Linked DNA regions of Astyanax mexicanus. The main gene of each other region encodes a partner of the protein of the gene in region 2 in a complex. Links are inferred from orthologs where the notes say so. Each region holds a gene or a part of one and is shown on either strand. Other genes may lie near its edges.

Region 1 (10,950 bases), on a different chromosome or scaffold from region 2:
CTAAACTGGTTTATGTTGGTCTGGTCTGCTTGTGTATGAGGTTTGTTCCAGAATGACAGTGTGAAGGGCTGCTGCGTTTATTAAATGTAAAAAACAAACAAATAAACAGAGAAAACCCTGTCAACTATGTAGTTAGCTTACTAGTTATATGCATGTGATTAATAGGTTCTAAAATATTAGTTAAAAACACACCTGCACACTTGTTTAGCAACCAAAATAAGATTTTGGCAATATACTATCCAGCAGTCAGCAAACCTAGCAAGTCTATCTACACAGATTTAATACTGATTTTTCTACCTTTTAATATTTCTTTCTATCTAAAAGATAATAGCCTATTTGGCGCTGGAATGCACAATTGACAGATATATTCTTTTTCCCCCACGGAGGGCGCTGTTAGACCCAAATAGCTCCATTATGGCTTCAAAACATTAGCAGCAGCTTTGAACACAAATACTTACTCAGTCACTTAGAAACAAACATAATCGGATTAGGGAACATTTTTTTGTCTGTTATGTTTTCACTGTATATGTAACGAATTACAGTTAAAGATAAACCAAAAAAAAAACTTTTGAGAATTACAGTTGAGTTGAGGAACAGTCCGGACTATGTAATGCAATTACATGTAATCTACTACTATAAGCTGGCTGCCTATAATGTAAATCCTACTCTTTCATTAACCTTTCAGTGTTATCTACGTGTTTTTCTGAACTTGGACTGTGGTGTCTTGACCTTGAATGATAGAAAGTCCCTTTTGTGTAAACAAGATTATTGACATACAGAAATTCTTTGAACCCAAAGTACATCAAAACAAGATTTAAAGATATTGTTCTGTAAAGGTCATCAGTCAAACAACAATTGATGCAGTAATTTCTGTGTACAGATTATTACAATTGTATCATTACTTTCAACTCTTCATTTGTAAAGACTGTTTAAAGTTCAAATAAAATGTGCATAGACTTTAAAGAGAAGGAGGTATTTATTGAAGGTCATATTTATATACACAGGGAAAGGTGCCACAGAATTACCACCTGAGAGACTCGTTTAGTTTTAAAATAGTAACAATGAGATTTAATATACAGGCATTTCTCAGCAAGAGGTCATACAGATGGTGAATAAGAAAAAGAAAATCTATCTACACATTGCTGCAGTGTGGTCAAAACAAAATTAATCTTGTCAACAGTCAAAATAAATTGTTATAAAACATTACAAATATGTATACAATTAAATATACACATTTTAATATCACAAAATACAGTATTTACCATCTCAATAAGCCGCCGCCATCAAAGGAAACTGAAGCATTATAAAAATGTCAGCATTATATAAAAAGAAGCATCATTTACTACAGGGCAGTATGTGTGCTTAGAGTCTGACAGACCGCACACTTATAAGGGACTACGAAGCCACAGACATTACGTCTACAATGGATCCATTCAAATGCCTCCACTGCTTCATGATCCTTTATCGTCCTTTCTCCACTGTCTCAGGCCAACTCTTCATGTTCCCAGTGACCACAGGTACAGCGCAACAATCCTGCAAGGAAATTCCTCTTTTTGTCCGCCAGGGGGAAACAATGGACATCCTGAAATGTGGCAGAAGCTCAGTCTGTCATTGGACCACTTCAAAGTAGTGTAAAATGGCCATGATGTGTTGGGGCATGAACACGTAGCCTGTGTACACGGCCATGGCTGCTACAGAGACCAAGAGGGAATCTGACATTGTGTTAAGAAAATATTTAATTTGTAAAGAGACCTACAGTATTTAATATGGTAAATCTAAACGCTTACTACAAACCCCAAAAAAAGAAACAAGAAAACAAAAACAACCTCTGATATTCTGTGCAGATTTCAGAGACTGTATGCAGAAAGCTTCTCAGACCAAATAGTGTGGAACAGATCTAGTGCAGAACAGATCTTAAATCAGAATTCCTACTCTGAGAAACTTAAAGAGCACTGATTTCATTTCAGAAAACCTCACATACTACATATCGAAATGTTTGGTAACACCTCTTATAAACATTTTAAGGTTAAATCCTATGCCTAATACCAGACTTGGGATAGAAGGGTATAAAGCCCACCACTGTGTTTCACAGTGTAGGTTGTTGGTTCATGTGTCTAATCAAATTAATTATTATTTATGAATATAACTAAGAGAATGTGTGGTTGTTTGGAATCCTACATCAACTCTTCACAGGTATAAATCAACATGCACCGACAGGCAGTGCAAATTACATTAAACAAGATCACATTTCATTTCCCCCTCTTCCCATCATCATGCAGAAACACTGGTCTAGACAGTAGACACTCCCTAATTCAGTGTTCTGCTCGTAAGTATATCATGACACTGTACCAGTATATTTTAATATAAATCCTCACACAAATACAGTACCAGCCAAAAGTTTGGACACACATTCTCATTTAATGTTTTTCTGTATTTATTTTTTTTCTACACAAAAAGAGCTGATGAGCTGGAGCTTCACAGAGTGAAGGAAAAGCAGCAACTATTGTTCAGCACCTCCAGAAACTCCTTCAAGACGCTGAGAAATATATTCCAGGTGACTATCCCTCTTGAAGACACTGAGAAAATACCAAGCGTGCACAGATCTTCCTTTAAATGTGGCTACTTAGAAGAATCTACAGTGTAAAACTTTTTTTTTGTTTACAATCCTGTATAGCTTTAATGTAGTGCTGCACTGTATACGGAATACCACAGAGAATTTAAAACTGGTATGTATTTTTTTTTACATACTGCCATACCGCTAGAGGCACTGCGGAGCACTGTGTAGAAGCACACAGTGCAGAACAGCACCACCAAAGAAGCACACAGCTCATAAGATAAAGCTAGTCAGTTAGTATAACAAGCTAACGTACTGCAATGACTGAAGCGAGAGCAATAGAATTGCACAATCGATCCACAGCTCAGAGAAAAGTTCCCATATGAGACCAAAATCAGTCCTGAGTGCAGAGTCACTTATTCAGCACAAGAGACAAAACTCCTCTAAAACACTGAATATGAGAAAGGAACTATACCCTTTTAAATATATTAACATTGTAGCTTAAAAGGTAATATTATTGCTCAATGAACTGAATGTATTTGTTAACTGGAGAGAAAAGGGGATCGTGGCTGATTTTAATACTGTAATTGCTTCAGAAAAATATAATATAAATTGATATTAAACGTGTGTCTGACTTGTGTAATAGAGCTTTTGAAAAATATATATTTTAAATACTTAAACATTCAGTATTTTAGGTCTATGTATGGTGTTTATGGAACTATTTAAAAAGGAAGAAGTGCCAAGTTGTTGCCATATCTCTTTCTATGGTCTATTATTTACATTCTTCAGCTGTTTTTCGGCTAATGAAGCCTGATTTCTTCATATATTATGCAATTTTGTGGGACAAAGTAAACCCAATAGTTTTGTAATGTTTTATATAAAAGTACCCCTAATAGTAAGTCACAAACCTATATAAAAGCCCAGTCATGCAAAAAAAAAAAGAAAAAAAGAAATAAACTAAAAACCTAAAAAGAAAGAAAAAAACGCATTGATTGTAACTGGTACTGTTTAAATCACACGCTATCTGAAGTCAAAATCATCAACAGCACAAATCCATATCACTCATCAACTCCTCTCACACGCCAATACAGGCGTGGCCTGACAGAACAAAACAAAACATTTTATACTGACAATGAAAGCGTCTCTATTTACATATACACAATGGGTGCTAAAATTGTACATATATAAGGCTTGTTTTACATAATTTAGTTAGTTAGTTTTAATTGTGAGATTAAATACGAACGCGCTTCTTCCGTTTTGAGGCGTGCACGACGTGATGACGCAGGGCTGCGTGGATCAGATCTTGTGATCTACAAGTCATAAATACTACCACTTTAAGGACAGAGTGATTTAAAGATCTGTCCACCAGCCAGTTACTGTACTACTACTACTAATAATAATAAAATAACATATATACAGATTTTCCTTGAAGTTTACAGAACAATAACAGTGATTAGCAACAGTTTATCCCATCAGTGCTCGTACAATATATGTGTAAACAGTGTAAATCATGCGTACCGGTGACTAGTAATCTGATACTATATAACCCACTGTACTGATGAATCACTCCATCCAGCTAGCCCAGTTTCTCAGCCAGCTCAGACCTCTGAGGTCAGCTGATACAGTAGTTATTCAATGAAACCCCGAGTCAGTAAAAGATCCCACACATAGAAATCAAACAGCTCTATCTTATTATTAGATTATCTGTAATATAACAACTTTAACCCACTGACAGTAGGTTAATGTGAAATCTCACACATGCACTTGTTGCTAGCTGTAGCTAAAGGGCTAACGAGGTTATTACACAGGACACAGGCAGGCAGGTAACACAGCTATAGCTAACACCCCGCTCCCCCTCATCTCTACACTGAAACACCGGGTAAAGGATACTGAAGACGGTCCGCTCCCACGGCTCCAGCATATACAGCGCTGTGACTAGGAGGTACTGGTAGTAAAACCAGGAGATCTGCTTCCAGGCATCTCCAATCGCCATGTTCTGTTCTCTCCTCTCCCGTCTCAGCTCCTCCGCTCCCTTCCGCCTTCTTCACAAAGCGTGGATTATTGAAAATGACGACACGGCGACTCGCGGAGCTGCTGTTACCTGATTGGATTGTTCGGTGTGGGGTGCGAGTCCTTATTTACATATTTGTCTCTACGCGGCTTTGTTATTGGCTGTTCGGCGAAGCGGGTTTAATGCAGAGAAACAAACGGTGGAGAAACATTAGAAATATTATTACTATGAGATATTTACAGATAATTAATTAGAAAAAATACTTATGGAGTTCTTAAAACATATAAAGGTAGGAAATGCACAATTTTATATAAAAAAAATCTGTTCGCTTTGCCTTTATAATATTTTGAATGAGAAAGGCTAGTACACAACAGAGATTTACCGTATAAAGTACTAGACACAGACTTGAGTAAAAGTACAAATGACTTGAGTTGAAGTGTTCTTTAAGCACCACACAAGCAGACGTTTATAGCTAAAATGTGTAATATATTAGTAGCCCCTTGATTGAAATAGGAGCAACATGTAAAACAAGCAAAGCCTGCTGTGCAAAGTAACTTAAAATGTTCTTAAAGTGTGAAACTCCAAAAACGGTTATGACAAACTGTATGGACAAATACATGCAGGGCAAGTAATAGCCCTCAAACACAGGGTAACGTTATTTGTTCAGGCCCGTCCACACATATCCAGATGTTTTAAAAAACAATAAAGTATGCAGTGCTACGCACAGGTGTCAGTTTACCTTTACTGTTGGGGTATGTGGACTGAGTTTTAATGCTTCAGCTAAAATGGAAAATAGTTATAGGGGGTTTAAAGCCTGGTTTTAGACGTGTTCACAGGTGTAAACACAGGCTGGACGCAGCGGAGGTAGTTAGCATTTCAGCTAGCTAGTGTAAATAGAAGATTATTAATCCAAAGTAGAGTTACTGGTATCCTCTCTCAGCTCGTCTGCAGGCGCTATTTCCTCAATTTTCTTCTGTGTCTCCAGTTGTATTTATTTAAATTCTCCAAATATTATATAATTTTTGGTTCTAGTACATTTGACTACAGCTCACATTAACACTAATTACCATAATTCTTGCGCTTTGGTGACGCTAAGCATAGTACACCCACGTGACTGTCAACGGCCAATCTAAAATGTGAAGGTTTTTGAGATGTTTAATTTTAATTTTAACTATTTAGCATTGATCATGTAAATATAAATCCCCCTGCAGCCATTAAACGTTTTTAATAGCAACAAAAAATAAAAGAAACTTAAACATTAAAACTCTAATTAATAAAGTTTAGTTTCTCTGATTCATTTCTGTGCATAAATAGGGCAAATCTAAATAATATTTAATTATATCCTCCTAGAAAACCCTTAGTACTGCTCATAACTTCATACATATAAATTTAAATAATTTATCACAGTACAGACAAAGTTCCCTTGGCAAAAATATACATAAACCAAGTATGAGTTAATAATACAACAAGTGAAAGTGATCTTGGGGAACTATTTTAATTCTGGAAGATTTTCAGATAAATAATTCTTATCTGAACTCGAAGTAATGTGTCCAGCACAATCCAGTGCTTCCTTAAACAGAGATCAACAGCTAGCTGATAATCCATGAGTTCAGATTCACAGTTGAATCCAACCCTAGCTGTAATTTTCCATAAAAAAAAACAAAAAAAAACGTTTTTTTTAAAATAGCAGTCCCCAAAAAGATTTATTCAAATAATGCCAGAATAGACACAAACTTCCTCTTGCTTATCATGGTTTGGAATAGGTGATTCTACTTTTTTTAAACCAAAGTAAAACTATATGAAATGTATCTGTAAATTAAAAAAAAAAAAAGGAAATCCACTTTTCTTAAATCAAAAATTACAGATAATTTACATAAATGTGCATAAGTACAGAGATCTTCTAAAACATCCCCACATTCTCACCTGTGTTTCAATATTACCCTCCATACAGTGACTTTAGGAAAAGGGGCATCAGCCAGAGTCTTTTAGCACACACACATCATCCACTCAGCAATGGCTTGCTAGGATGTTAAAGAAATGGTAGACCTCATCTTTATCAAACACTGCCACTTCAGTAGAACACTCTGTACACTTGACTGGATGATAAATCTCTTCCTCGTCCATTCCACTCAGTCTGGAGTCAGTCAGACCTGCCTCTGCCTCATTCTCTGTAGCTGTGGACCCCTGATGGCTTTTCTTCTTGCGTCGGTTCTTCTGTTTGGCTGCTTTATACCTCAGGACTTCATCTTTACTCACTGTACAGTTCATCACAAACATGGCTCTGTATTGCGTTCTATACTTCTCATGTCTGTGTATAAACAGAAGACAACACAATTACAATACAATTTAGGTTGTCAAACTGGCTTGATGGTTAGTTTACAATTTGAACAACAAACAGGCTATTGGTACATGTCATGTTAAAGCTATGTTCAGCAGACTTAACATTATCCATCAATATTAAATCAAATCAAGTTATTTGATATTTCCTATAGTCTACAATGACAAAGGATGAAAAATAGCATTTAGGCTAATTCTGGTGCATTTACAGTAAATGTTAATTAATGTACACTGTCCCTGTCAAATAAACTATTAAATAAATAAAATAAATAGTCTAACAATGTCTTCAACAATACAATGTCTAATGTCTTTCATTTACGGGCTGTGTTTGATAGGACATGTGATATTCTGTTTCATAAAAATGTACACCTGGTCACTTCATGTTACTAGTATATAGATTATATCCAGATATTATATTTTGATTTTACCCACACACATTTACACTTAGCAGTCAAATGTGTCTCTAGTTATACTAAAATCTGATTGTTGTGTGAGACAGAATATGCTTATTATTTTATTGTGGCAATTAATACTAGAGTTTTGTTGTATGGGAAGGGGTTCCAGTTGCTGAATATGTCTTAGGGAAATAGATATGTTTACACTGCTCTAATTTGTAGCTGAAATTGGTCTCAGACCATCTCTTAAAGTGGTCTGAGTGACTGGATCTGTGATAAATGCAAAGTGGGTGTGTTTACACTTGCATGTTTATGTGGCTTGGCCTTATCAATAATCAATAATATCAATTATATCAATTATCAATAATATCAATAAGCCTCAGTTATAAAAAAAATCACAACAGTATTCTACAATTCTGTTGGGGATCTAACCACATTGAGCAGCTACATGTAGATTTATGTGATGGCCCTCTTACCTCTGACAGTCTAGACATAGCGTAGTCATACACGCAGGACAGTTGAGGACAGCATCACTGCTTGGGAGGGGGTGGGATTTGTTTCTTTTGTCTGCAGATGATCTAAACCTTCTGTGGCTTCTGTACCTATAGTCACCAAAAAGTACCGTCAAAAACACGAGACAGCTGTACTGCTTCTGTCACTACAGTGTTTGATTATTGTAGTAATTCTGGTTTACTTTTATATGACTCACTCTTTTCTCCTGGCATCTACCCACGCCTGATCCCGATCATCTTCATCTGGGTCATATAATAACTCATCATTGGTAAGTACAGTGCGCTGCTTTCTCCTCTGATTCTTGGAGACACCTGAAACAGAATTTTAACAGACATTCATTAGCACTCATGCAAGTAAATTATATCACATCGCCCTGTTGTTTGCATATTCCTGGCAACCTTACCGGGCAAAGCATCCTCATCTGAATCTGAATCAAAGTATATGTTATCGTACTGCGGAGGTTGTGTTCTGGTCGTGTTTTGTGTTGAAGCATTGTCACCAGTCTGAGAGGCCTCGCCTACAGTTGAAAACAACACATTCCTATTAGTCTGTGAGCACATCACACACATCAGTATTCCACAGTTTGTATAGTGAAAGTTGTAATGATAACCTTGAGAAGATGGAAAGGTCCAGTTGCCCTCCATGGATTTCATTGTGCTGCTCAGCTCTGCCTCCATCTCTTTCTCAAACTCATCACCACTGGATGACTCACTCTCCCCCGTCAAATACTCTCGGATGAGCTTCTTCTTCTGATCTGGAGTTCCATTAAGAAGAATGTCGAGCTCATCTTCGGAGCTAAAGGACAATATATTCAAACAAAAGGTAAGCACGCTGCTTTATTTTTTTAGGTTATAAAAGCACCATGTCAGATTCAATTATAGGCCTAAAGCTTCTTAAAAAAGGAGCACATTTTGGCAGATATCACTCTGGGCCCTTTAGAAACTGTGTAATGGAGTTGAATGAATGATATAGCTCTCCAAACCATCACTGATTGTGGAAACTTCACACTAGACCTCAAGCAGTTTGGACTGTGTGTCTCTTCACTCTTCCTCCAGACTCTGGTCCCTTGATTTCCAAATGAAATGCAACATTAACTGATGATCAGTGATGGGTTGGAGAGCCATGTTATCTGCTGATGTTGGTCCACTGTGTTATATTAAGACAGCACTTCTTGCTTCCCTCTGCGGTCAACTTTTATGCAAATGCAGATTTCATTTTCCAGCAGGACTTGGCACACTGCCCACACTGCCAAAAGTACTAATCAGTCTTTACATAAGTCTTTAAAATATTTACATTTTCTGAGACTCTCTGTGTGTAATACATTTATATAATATATGACGTTCACATTTTGAACTCTATTACTGAAATAAAGTAACTTTTTCAACTCATCATTTTTGAGATTTTTAGATGCATGTAGTGTAGCTGGATTTTAAATATAATTACAATAAAAAATGTAACAGGTTAAAGGATATGGAGATTATTTGTCCTATAGTGTATTGTGACATTGTCGATTAAAATAATCAGTATATTATCTTAATTAACATTTAGCATGATCAATGTCACGTTAATTCTTTTGAGTGATTCATATCTAGCCATGGGTAAAACTATGTATGTGCTGTGTTTTACTTTGAAGAGAGTTGGTACGAAAACGTTTTAATCAGTATTTTTGACTATCTTAGATATATGTGAAAAAATGAAAGTAAAATACTGGTAAAGTGCAGAGTTCAGATCTGAACTACAGACCCAGGTGTGTTACAAGTTCCTTTAAGTGAAATCAGTGGGTGCTGCAGAGTAAACGCCTTTCTGCTGAGATTATACACACAGTTTACTTTAATAAACATACATAAATTTAAAGTGTCTATTACAGATTTACTGTTCTCCTCAGTGTGCACTCAGATGTAAACCTTTAGAAACACGCGCTGCTTGTTTACGGTAACAGCGCGTCTCCGGATTAGTGATTACCTGACTGCTCTTTCTTCATCACTCGGCTCCTCAATCTCGTAAGAATCATATTCATCTTTTCGGTTCATTTTTTTCTCAATCCAGAAAATGGAAATAAACAAATAAACACACAGGAACGCAATAAAAGCACAAACAGGCGAGAGAGCAGCGCTGTGTCTTTCCGGAGCAAGACTCTTCCACGTGACATTTCAAAATAAAAGCTTTCTGAGTATTAACCCTTTCAGACCTGAATTATCTCCAGTGACAGAAATAAAATGTAGGAATGCTGTTTTCTGTCTGTAATGCACACAAAAGAAAACACTAATATTCTATAATAAAATATATACAGCAAATAAATCCAATAAACTAAAATATGTAATTTTTTATTGCCATTGTATTGCAAGCCTGTGTGATATTTTCTATTTCATATTGACTTTTTAATTTCAAAAACATGAATAAGTGTTCTAAATTAGATTTTTACATTAAACTAGTAAAAACAGCCTCTATTAATTAAGCTTAAGTACTACTGTTTTTCTAGCAAAGTGGGCGGGGCCAAGTTACTGTTTTATTGGTTTATAAATTTGTTGATTGGCTGGTTCATGGTCTATTCTGATGAATAACAACCAGCTCTTAAATAGTGTTATGTGCAACAAAGCAAATACATGATGCCCATTGTAATGGATGCAGGGTTTAAAAATGTAAGCTCGTCTTCCTTGCCCTCTAGCTGTGCCAAGTCTTTACATTAAAATATTAATAAATATGTAACAAATACATGTATTACCACAAATATAATTAATGCATTCAATTATCTAATAATACCATCAAGCATATATATTGGGCAGAGCCTCTTAATCTACCAGAGGTGTTAAAAAATATGTTCTTCATGCTACACTTATTTCCAACTCACATGAAATGAACATGAAATAAGGTAAACAGTGTTATTTATTTTTGTTATGTTCATTGTCATTTTATCATCATTTAACTGTTTTATGTCAGCATTCCTCCATCATAATAAATGGAAGCTTTGGTCACATACTGTGAAAAAACACATTCATATACAGTGCACTTAAAAAGCTGGGAGAAGGGGAGGAAATGTCTTCATATATATGATTTTTACAATATCTGATTAGTCTACATATTAAGGCAAACATAATGATGCATTATCTGTCAGGAATGAAAAGAGAAATGTATTAATTTTT
Region 2 (11,215 bases):
TCAGCGTTCGTTTGTTTTTGAAAGAAGGTGTTTATTTTATGAATTACAGTCTTTTTTACTTGCTTTTAGTCCCCCCCCCCCCCCCACTATCACCCAGCGCAGAGACCTGCTGAATTTGAAGGAAAACATGGCGACACACCTGTTCCTTACTACGCCTTATAATCCAGTGCTCCTTATGTATGAAAATAGATCAGAAAATAGACATTCACTGACTGTGTGCAGTTGACACATCAGCACATCAGTGTCAGCAATGGGCCAGCAATTTTAAAACCCTAGGATTTGGTGATTTAGGAAAAAAGCCAACATCTTCCCATCCAAATCGAGCATGGGCAATTGTGCTCTCTCGGACTCAGGCTGCTGATGGGAAAGCAGCATGACCTTGCATTTGAACGAGTGACAGCAACTTAGTCACTATGGAACAACCAGTCAGAGGTGTCAATCGGTTAAAAATATTAAACAGATTAATTACAAAAATATTCTGCGTTTAACCGCACTTATTCTTAAGACAAGATTTTATAGTGGCTACATAACTGTATTTGAAAGATTGAATGTAAACATATTCTTGTATGTTTAAGAGGAGATGGAATAAATAATGCATGATAAACTGGATAAAGGAAACTTTTTTTACTTTATTTTAAACATCTCAGCTTGGTTGTAAGGATTTTTGAATTAGATCTTAATTAGCTAAGTATAAAAAGAGCGTTTTCACACCTGTAGTTGGGAAAGTTTCTATAATCTGGATTATTTGATGAGTTTGTGAACGCTGCACATACTGTGCACTCAGTGTGTAAACAGCATGGAGCAGCAGAGACAGCGTTTGTTTATAGCAGTATATTATCTGGCTACAATATCAAAATAAATTGCGTGTTTTGTCAGCAGTTTAGCTCAATTAAAAAGAAGTATATTTGTTAGATGGGTTGAAAAACAATAGCATGTTACTGATCAATCAATCAATCAATCAATCAATCATGTGTATTACGCTTTTATGTTGACAGCCCTAATAGAAACCTAAGGTCACAACTAGTTGGAAGTGAGTTCTGTGCAGCATGGTGAGCTCAGAATGAGATTTTAGAGAGAGGATTAAAGGTAGCTGTAACTGTCCTCCCACACACACTTTTAAAGCACTTAATATGATCTAATATTTGATTAACCTTTCCAGAAAGGGGTGAGAGGAAGAGACGGAGAAAGTAAATGAGTTTATTTGACATATAATATTGAATAAACTAAGCAGAACTACTGCTTAGAGGATGGGAGTTCAGCTGTGTTTGAGCCTGTCATAACAGCAAACATGTTAAAACACAGGCATGGTGAATGTCATAGCATTTCTCTTTCTTTGTTCTTACATTCGGGTGAAAAAGAAGGCAATTAAAATGAATTATGTGAATGAAATGTAATGGTTTCTGGCACGGCTGTTTTGGTGAGGTGGTACCGAGGCCGTGTTTAGGCAGATGCTCCGCACGGAGCAGCGCTCGCTCTCTGGAATGCCTTTCGTCAGCTATCAGTCAGCTACTGCGCACAAGCATTCACACTTAAACACCACAGTCCTGCACACCACAAGGCAGCGGAAGGCAGCGAGCCAAGAGTCTGACTCAGATCTCAGGTATCAAAGGTTACACCTCAGTGAAAGTTAAGTAAATGTGAGACTCAGCCAATTAATACAAGTTCAGAAAGACAGCGAAGAACAAAAACAGTTTAGTTAAATAACTACAAATAAACATCTGAGGATGAAACGATGCTCTAATATCAACACATCAACACTGCTGCATGTAGGATGGTTATAATATTACAGTCAGATTAATGGGGTCTAACTCGATTAATGACTGTGTTCTTAAAGCCAGTGAAGAACACAAACAAACACATACGCTATTTATCTGGATCAGTCTCATTTTTCTTGGTAAACAGACACTGTGTATTGTGGGGAGGCCTGCTTGTTTCTACCTTTAACTTCTATTACTTTTGTACTTCATTATTGTAAGTCGCTTTGGACAAAAGCATCTGCCAAATGTAATGTAATGTAATGAAATGTAATGTTCATTAAGTGTATAAGGCCATTATACACTGTTAAAGTATACTTTCCTTGAGTAACTGTTTTTTATCAATATGTTTACTTAACAAAAAGATAAATACTTTAATTAATAAAGGTGTTAGTTAACAAATGTGAATATGTTATATAATAAACACAAGGTATGCATATTTATAAAAACGGTGAAGGACAGCATTACTTTGTACAAGCACATCAAGGTCATTAATTACCTCATATATTAATTCTCAATTTGTAATGGTTGGAAGATAACATAAAAGTGACGAATTGTCCCAAACTGCATAAATTAAAAATAATCTTTTCAGATGGAACATAAGAATAGAGTTATTTTATCCACATTGAGGAATTAGGTGGTTTTAGTGTTTTTTTTGTCTCATTCCTTAATTTTTTTAATTCATTCTAAAATGTCTAGTTGTGCTCCGGTGATCCGGTATAACGCTGCTTTAGTCCGGTGGAGGAGTGGGTGGAGGGGAGAAATGATAGGATTTCGGCTCTTGCTCATGAATATTCACACATGCAAACATATCGCCTCTGATTGACTAACAGCACTGCAACACCAGGAGGCAGCGAGATGAACAACAGTTAGAAATGTTTTAAAATAAAGACATTTTTTACACTAATAACAGTCTTTGCAGTGTCATATGTTACTGTCATATATGATTAGTATATGCAGTTCAGCCACTGACCGAGTCTTAGAATCTCTGTAAAACAGCGTTTCTCAACCTTTTTTCTATCACGGCACCCTTTAAATATATGCGAGATGTCAAGGCACCCCAGTTTACGGACGGGGGGGGAGGTGCTGGCGCAGTACTTCAGGTGAGAACGAGGGGTGTTGCTGGCGGAATATGAAATAAAATAGCGCGTGCATCGCGTGGGGGGACAAAAACTTTACAGTGTGTCCCAATTTAGGGGCTGCATCCTTCAGAGGCTGTATTCGAAGACAGATTGCGTCACAGCTGCGCAGTAATACACCGCCTCTGTGGGTCGCATCCTTCAGAGTATGCTGCCTGTGAATTGGGACACACCCCGACACGAGCTGACTCTGGAAAGGAAATATGCACGTGAAGCGCAATATTTTGACGGCACCCCCGATGAAGCCAGGCGGCACCCTGGTTGAGAAACACTGCTGTAAAACACCAAATCCACTGAAGATCCTATTTAAACCTATAGTTACACACCTTTTTTACTTTTAACTAGTGTAAACAGAATTTTACAGAACAATTATATAACCCCTCTTGACAGTGTGGGGGAGCCCCTAAAAATGCTTTAACGTCCTAGCACAACTCTAAAATGTTGCTCTACAAGGGCCTGGTGTCCTCTTAAGAGGCCATTATACTGTCACTTAGTGGTGGCAAAAGAATTTTACACATTACAGTATGATTTTCTTCAGAAATTTAAATAAACAGTAAATACAGTAAAAGTTTATGCTATTTACTTTATGTCTTTGTTTTGAAGTTGAATCTTCAAATGAGCCAAATTTCTACTTATATTTTGCACTCAGGCACAAAATAAATGTTTTGCACATCATTACTAACTACAAACTTCATTGTGTTCTATAGAAATATAAAACTAAAGTCCTCATATGTGGACATACAGAAACTATATTATGTAAAAAGACATTTCTTTGTTTTTACACTAATAAAGTGCCAATTAGCCCAAATAGCAAAGAGAAATAAAAAAAAATGCATGCCATGCAAGAGTTTCTTTCAAGAAAAGGTTTTTGGAAGAAAATTGTTGATGGTTCCTTGAAGACCCCAATGGATTCTTCTACACAGTCCCTCTATTCTCTCTCATTTACTAAAATTCATATTTCTAAAACAAAAGAAATCAAAGTGTTGAAACAATAGGAAAATTCTAAGACTACACATTGTCTCTTGACTGCATTTACTTTTCCTCTACGTATCGACTGAAAAACTGTACTATACTGTACTTGTGTTGTAACATGCTGTACATCTTACACGCTGTACACACTTCCACCCTCTCTAATGTAATGGGTAGTTTTTCTGATGCATGTTCTCCCGTTACCTGTTGCAGGTCCCTGGCTCTGGGGCAGCAGTACTCATCCCTGGGCTCCCAGCCCATCCTCTGCGGATCCATTCCTGGCCTGGTTCCCAAGCAGCTGCGCTTCTGCCGCAACTACATCGAGATCATGCCCAGCGTGGCCGAGGGCGTCAAACTGGGCATCCAGGAGTGCCAGCATCAGTTCCGTGGCCGCAGATGGAACTGCACCACCATAAAGGACAACCTGGCCATCTTCGGTCCTGTGCTGGACAAAGGTAAAATACATTAAATACAGAATGTCAATCACTTTTCTGCTATGTGTTTGCTTTGGAATATTACTTTGAAGGTGTGCTCAGGTAGCTAATGGCTTTATCAGCTCTTGAGATACAATCAGAACAGAATACACTTACGGAAACACTGGTTTTAGAATAATTAATAATTAATAATAATATAATGAATAAAATGCATCATTTAGAATGGTTGTTCCCCAAGAACCCACCACTAATACAGAAGATGCTGAGGGTTTAACACATGGTTTAGAGCAGGCCTGTCCCAATGACTACTATTTTATGTCAGTTACTTTATAACAATAAAGTCAATATCAAAAAATTAGAATATCCTTAATATAGTTACTTTATTTTAGTAATTCAGTCCAAAATCTGAAACTCTCATACAGCTCTGGAAAAAATTAGGAAACCACTTCAGTTTCTGAATCAGTTTCTCTGATTTTGCTATTTATAGGTTTATATTTGAGTAAAATGAACATTGTTGTTTTATTCTATAAACTACAGACAACATTTCTCCCAAATTCCAAATAAAAATATTGTCATTTAGAGCATTTATTTACAGAAAATGAGAAATGGCCGAAATAACAAAAAATGATGCAGAGCTTTCAGACCTGCAAATAAAACAAGTTCATATTCATAAAGTTCAGAAATCAATATTTGGTGGAATAACCCTGGTTTTTAATCACAGTTTTCATGCATCTTGGCATCATGTTCTCCTCCACCAGTCTTACACACTGCTTTTGGATAACTTTGTCTTTACTCCTGGTGCAAAAATTCAAGCAGTTCAGATTGTTTTAAAGGCTTTTGATCATACATCTTCCTCTTGATTATATTTTTTTCCAGAGCTGTATTATATAGATGTATTAAACACAGAGTGATCTATTTTTAGCGGTTATTTTAGTTAATCGTTGATGATTATGGCTTAAGGCCAATGAAAACCCAAAAATCAGTGCCTCAGAAAATTGGAATATTAAATAAGACCAAATGGTACTTTTGGCAGTGTGGGCAGTGTGCCAAGTCCTGCTGGAAAATGAAATCGCATTTTTCCCATATTGTGCAGCCCTACTAAAAAAAACGTACCGAAAACATAACAAAAATGTACCGAACCCTTGGGTTCATAATGAGGTTACACCCCTTAGTATATCACAGACAAAAGCAACCAAAAATTGTGCAGACGTAACGGATATCTGCTGAAAAAACTCCACCGCCATGCTTTAATAACACTCACAGTGTGAAATTGGCGATTATGTTTATTCCTCTGCCTTTATTCCTGCATTTCTTTTAAACAAAAGACAGTGAAGAAGACAATGGGTGATCTAAATGAGCAGAAACTCTGCTGAGCGACAGATAGTGGAGGTGGCCTATCTCCTTATCTCCTTATCTCCCTCTGCGGCAGATCCCCAGATCCCCGAGGGTGAAGATGAGCAGCCCCTGATGGAGAGCAGCGCTAGCCTGGCCGCGAGTGTTAGTGTTAGTGAGTGAATGAGAGAGAGAAAAAGAGAGAGAGAGAGAGAGAGAGAGAGAGAGATGGGGAGGCCAAATGAGATTACAAGCAATAGAAAAGGGCTGAGATGGGGGGTGTTGGGGGGTTCCGCTCAACCCCTACTGTGCGTGAAGGCCAGTATGAGCCATCTCTGTGTGCCTCTTACAGCCCGGCTCCCACGAACGCCCCATTCACACGCCCTTTTGACTGTGTCATGAAAACGGGCTGAAAGGGAATCTCCCAACCTTCCCCATCAGGAAGGGGGTGCAGTGATGGGCAGAGGAGAGAGGTTGGCCATGGTGAAGAGGGGGAGAGGTCAGAGAGAGAGAGAGAGAGTGAAGGAGAGAGAGAGGAAGATACAGGGAAGCCAGTGGTTTTCAATATATTGAGGGTTTATTTAAGAAACAATCCAACCCGGGGTGAGAAGGAAAAAGAAAGGCTCCAGGGTTCATGGTTGGTGTGTGCATGTCGCTGCTGGGATAAATGGGGGGGTGCTCCTGTTGGGAATGCCAGGCCGGCTCTGGGCAGAGCTAAGCTGGGCTGTGGGGGTGTGGGGGTGCCGGGCCCTTTTGTGCGGGTAATACAGTGTGACACCAGAGAGACAAAGGCGGATTCATGGGCCCAGCAGGTAGCGGGAGCAGCGCTCCGTTTGGCTCGGGGCCAGAGCTCCTGGGGCCCTCAGCTCACAGCACTCTGTTGTAGTCAACCCAGCTGGGCCTGCCAGAACCAACCGGGCCTCATTCTGGCCTCCCACCCTGAGAGGTGTGTGCCCAAACACACAAACATCAGGAGAAAAGAGCAGTGAAGCGGTGTGTGTGTGTTGTGTCCCCTTAGAATAAAACAACAACAGAACATACATACAAAACGTAAAACACACATTAAGAGTAGGGGTGGGTATCGTCACTGATTTCCCAGTTCGATTCGATTCTGATTCACAAGTAGGCTTGTCACTAGTGCTGTGTGATATGATGATAAATATCATGGGGACCCTATCGTTTCTACAGTAATTTCATCAATTATTGATGCAAATATATAAAGTAGGCTACAATAAAAATCTATTGGCATGGTCACTTTGCATGAACTCGGTTTATATAAGTGATAATAAAGTAATCTTCGCTTAAATTAAAAAAGCTTCATAATGTGATTTTGCAGCATGACGCTGCTGTACGTTATTTGATTCAAAATCGATTAATTTAGGTACATTTCTGTTACAATAAAAACTGTACTTTAAATATGAAATGTTGTAATTATACAAGAAACACAATTAGTGTTTATTTTATATCGACTTATATAAACACAACAGTTTTTATTTCAATTATTCTTTTAATATAATTTAATGTAGCTTAGTTAATTGCGACACCGTGCTTCACGTCTCTATACAGGTTTGTTATGTCCACTTTACTCAAATGTTTATGTGTGGGTAAAATATGATCCAGAACATTAATGAGGCTTTGAAAGCCTTCGTTTTTAACAATACTATACATATATACTGACATTTTAGTTATAGAAAACAGAAATATAACATGTTTCATAAATTTCTGTAAAAGTGTGAAATTTACCCAGACCCACTAGTTCAGATTTGATACAACAATAAGCAAAGTTTAGTGCACCGGCCGCATGTAAGGCTAGTAAACCCGGCTAAAGGGGGATTAGCTTCCCCGGTGATTTGGCTAACCCACTAAGCTAACAGTAGATTCAGCCAGTCAGGTCTTACTTTAAAATAGAGTACAGGCTGAAACAACACTGGAAAACAACTTAAAACAGTGTTAAATGTACTAGTTTGATAAACACAAGGTAGCATTAAGTGGAAATACAGAAGAAAATTACTTACATTTTTACAGAAACTCTCCGCAGGTAAGATTTATGACCAGAGAAACTTATAAAAATCTATTAACATTAATGTATCTTAATAACATAACGACAGCGCTGTGGAGTTGTGATTATTAGGAATACTGTAAAATATGTGTACTTATTGTGGTGGTTTATTATAACGGCGACAAGTTCTCAAATTAATTCAGGCTTTATGTAAAACATAAAACAAGACAAGAAAAGCTGAGCACCTTAAGAATTTTCAGAAGAAAAAAAAACTAAATTTTTTAAAAAAGTGTTGAAATGAATGACTCAGCAGTTCCTTCCCAGTATGACAGCATGATGAGGAGGAAAAAAAATCACCTGACGACATCCTGAGTCACACTCCCAGCCAGGTTAATAAACCTGACCTCTCACCTCACCTTTCACCTTTTAGGATAGGTAATATTACACAGACTAGAGGTGCCAAAAATGTGGCCAAAAATATTTGTTAAAAATTGTTTAGGGGAATAAAAATTTACTGCGCTTTTTAAATAAATATGTCTAACAAATCTTTGAGATGGCACTTAGTTTAGCTAACATATACAGCTTTGGAAAAAAAGAGACCACATTAGTTTTATTCTATAAACTACAGACAACATTTCTCCCAAATTCCAAATAAAAATATTGTAATTTAGAGCATTTATTTACAGAAAATGAGAAATGGCTGAAATAACAAAAAAGATGCAGAACTTTCAGACCTCAAATAATGCAAAGAAAACAAGTTCATATTCATAAAGTTCAGAAGTTCAGAAATAAATCAATATTTGGTGGAATTACCCTGATGGTTTTTAATCACAGTTTTTTTCATGCATCTTGGCATCATGTTCTCCTCCACCAGTCTTACACACTGCTTTTGGATAACTTTATGCTGCTTTACTACTGGTGCTGCTTTTGTAATGTTTTGTAATGTTTTCTTAAACAATCAAAAATCAAAACTACAATCAAAAATTATAGTACCATGTAGGAGATGTACCATATCGTATCGTACGCAATAGTATAACCAAATATTCTGACATGATATAACTCCTTATAGTGATATCACAATATACTTGAAAGCTATTTAATATATTTACATGTAATTGTATGTTTGCCGTTTAGATGCCCCAGGGAATACAGATGAAAATAAGCTTTTTAGCTAACTCTGGCACATTTACATTGATGTTGAAACGGAAATGTTTATCAAAATAGGAGATGCTGCACTATACATTTTTATTGTTACACTGATTTGGTGAGTTAATATTTACAAACTAATCATTTATAAACTTGCAGTAGTACATTCTTTAAATTATTATTATTGTTTTAAATACCATGTTTTGTCATACCAACATAAATATCATTATCGCAAAAATACCCTGAAATATTGTGACACATTTTAGGGCCTTATTGCCCATCCCTAGTAAAAATTCTAACTTTTTTCAATGGATTTTAAGTATGTAAAGTTGTAAAATGAATGACTCAGCAGTTCCTCCCCAGAATGACAACATCCACCTGAGTCACACTCTCAGCCAGGTCAATGAAAAACCATCGCTTCTCACCTCACCTTTTTTTCTTAAGCCTATCTTACGCAACCGTGCAGAGACTCGCGCTGCGTGTGGCCGAAGAATGCGTGAGAGAGAGCGTAGTAAACACTGACGCAAACTGATGCAACGTGTTTGTTACTCTGAGAAAAATCCCTCTCGCAAAGAAAGAAAAACACTTCTGGAACGCTCTGTACATTTCTTTCTTTCTTCCCGGTACGAATTGCAGTTCTGTGTGTGCTGGCGTGAGGGAGAACTACAGCTAACCTTACAGGGTTCCAGTCTCTCTCTATAACTAACAAACTCTATAACTAATCAAACCAGGCTGAGATCTGGCAACCCTTAGGAGAAGCACAAATGTTCTCAGGATGGGAGGTCGGAGGAGCTGGAATGTCTGTTGCAGAGTGTGTGTATGTACATGTGTGATCAGGCAGCAGTAGACTCAACAGGATAGATAGGGGGGGGTATTCTCAGCACTGCTCTGATTAGCACTGATTAGCATGGTGGTGGTGTATAAGGTGTTAATGTGTGTTGTGCTGGTACAGTGAGGGGGTACCCCCAGGGTATCGAGGAGAGCATAGGTCAGAGAAGCAGCCAAGAGGCCCATGGTCACTCTGGAGTAGCTGCAGAAATCCACAGCTCAGGTTGGAGAATCTGTATACAGAACAACTATCATAAGTCATGCGCTCCACAAATATGGCCTTTTATGGAGAAGTGTCAAAAAGAAATCATTGTTAAAAGAAACATATGAATTGCAGTAAGCAGTTGCTGCAAACATATGAAAGAAGGTTCTCTGGTCAGATGAGACCAATGTTGAACTTGAACTCTGGCCTTAATGCGAAGCGCTATATGGGGAGGAAAACAAACACTGCTCATCACCCTCTACACACATCACCCCACTGTGAAGCATGGTGGTGGTGGCATCATGCTGTAGACCTGTTTTTCTTCAGCAGGGACAGATGTGGGAAGCTGGTCAGAGTTAATAGGAAAATGGATGGAGATAAATACAAGACAATCCTGGACAAAAACCTGCTGAAGGCAACAAAAGACTTGAGACCTTCCAGCAAGACAATGACCCTAAACATACAGCACTACAGAGCTACAGTGCAATGATTTAGATCAAAGAATATTCATGTGTTAAAACGATCCAGTCCTAAATCCCACTGATCTTATCTTATCTATTTTGTATATTCTCTTTTTTATTGTATTCTTTATTTTATCTATATTATCTATTTTAATAACAGCTCTTGGGTGTAAACTGGATCGTGTGATCACAATTTCGTTCCACCTCATGTACCACATGTGATGCGAATGACAATAAAATCTCCTTGAATTCTTGAGTCTTCTGTGGAGAGACATGAAAACTGTTGTTCACAGACGCTCTCCATCCAACCTGGCTTGATATGGGTGATATAGGGGGGCTAAATACTTTTTTAGTTTTTTATTTGATAAAATGTTTTAAAACCATGCATTATTCTCGTTCCACTTCATCCCTATGCAATACTTTGTGTTCGTCTATCACTTAAAATCTCAATAAAATGCATTTAACATTGTGGTTGTAAGGTGACAAAATGTGAAAAAAGTTAAAGGGGTATGAATACTTTTGCAAGCCACTGTATAGTCACATTAACTTTTGCAATCTTTTAGTCCACTGTGATCAATGCTGAAATCACTATTACAAACTGTACAGCGAGCAAGACTTCTATAGTTTTTCACTTTTACCAGACAGTTTTGATAGGAGCCACGATGCTCCTGAATGCATCCAGTCCAGTAGAAGAAAAAAAACACTGCCCGTCCACAATATAAACTGATTGTCTGACTCACAAAGAAACAGGCCAGAAACAGGTCAATGGGCATCATTGATCTGCTACTGATATGCGATAGACTCCCGCGATATCTGGGAGACTTGAGAAGTTGGTCATGGGCAGGCTCTGGGCGGGTCATGGACAGCTTCTAAAAAAATAAATACGTTTAAAAAAATGTTTTAATTAAAAAGAATTTATGCCTATCTGATTTTGTACTCATCTTTTATATT

What was found. The genes of interacting proteins can lie anywhere in the genome.
Region 1: the proteins of ormdl3 (region 2) and sptssa are in contact, whole or in part, in a cryo-EM structure (PDB 7CQI), measured with the Homo sapiens proteins. The link is inferred for Astyanax mexicanus from reciprocal best matches to the Homo sapiens genes ORMDL3 and SPTSSA. Residues at the interface, in NP_001307730.1 of Homo sapiens: Val36, Leu38, Ser39, Ile40, Pro41, Phe42, Ser44; in NP_612145.2 of Homo sapiens: Ile44, Tyr50, Thr51, Val54, Phe55.

The regions. Positions count from the first base shown.
Region 1 is NC_064421.1:19,105,949-19,116,898, reverse strand, and holds sptssa (serine palmitoyltransferase small subunit A), read right to left. Parts: upstream 4,655-10,950; 5' UTR 4,548-4,654; coding exon 4,445-4,547; intron 1,713-4,444; coding exon 1,609-1,712; 3' UTR 958-1,608; downstream 1-957. Other genes in the region: E2F-associated phosphoprotein, read right to left, coding at 6,573-6,873, 7,774-7,899, 8,007-8,121, 8,214-8,327, 8,421-8,605, 9,773-9,840. UniProt on the Homo sapiens protein: Component of the serine palmitoyltransferase multisubunit enzyme (SPT) that catalyzes the initial and rate-limiting step in sphingolipid biosynthesis by condensing L-serine and activated acyl-CoA (most commonly palmitoyl-CoA) to form long-chain bases.
Region 2 is NC_064422.1:44,018,812-44,030,026, reverse strand, and holds the start of ormdl3 (ORM1-like protein 3), read right to left. Parts: upstream 4,076-11,215; 5' UTR 4,067-4,075; intron 1-4,066. Other genes in the region: wnt3 (proto-oncogene Wnt-3), read left to right, coding at 4,076-4,317. UniProt on the Homo sapiens protein: Plays an essential role in the homeostatic regulation of sphingolipid de novo biosynthesis by modulating the activity of the serine palmitoyltransferase (SPT) in response to ceramide levels.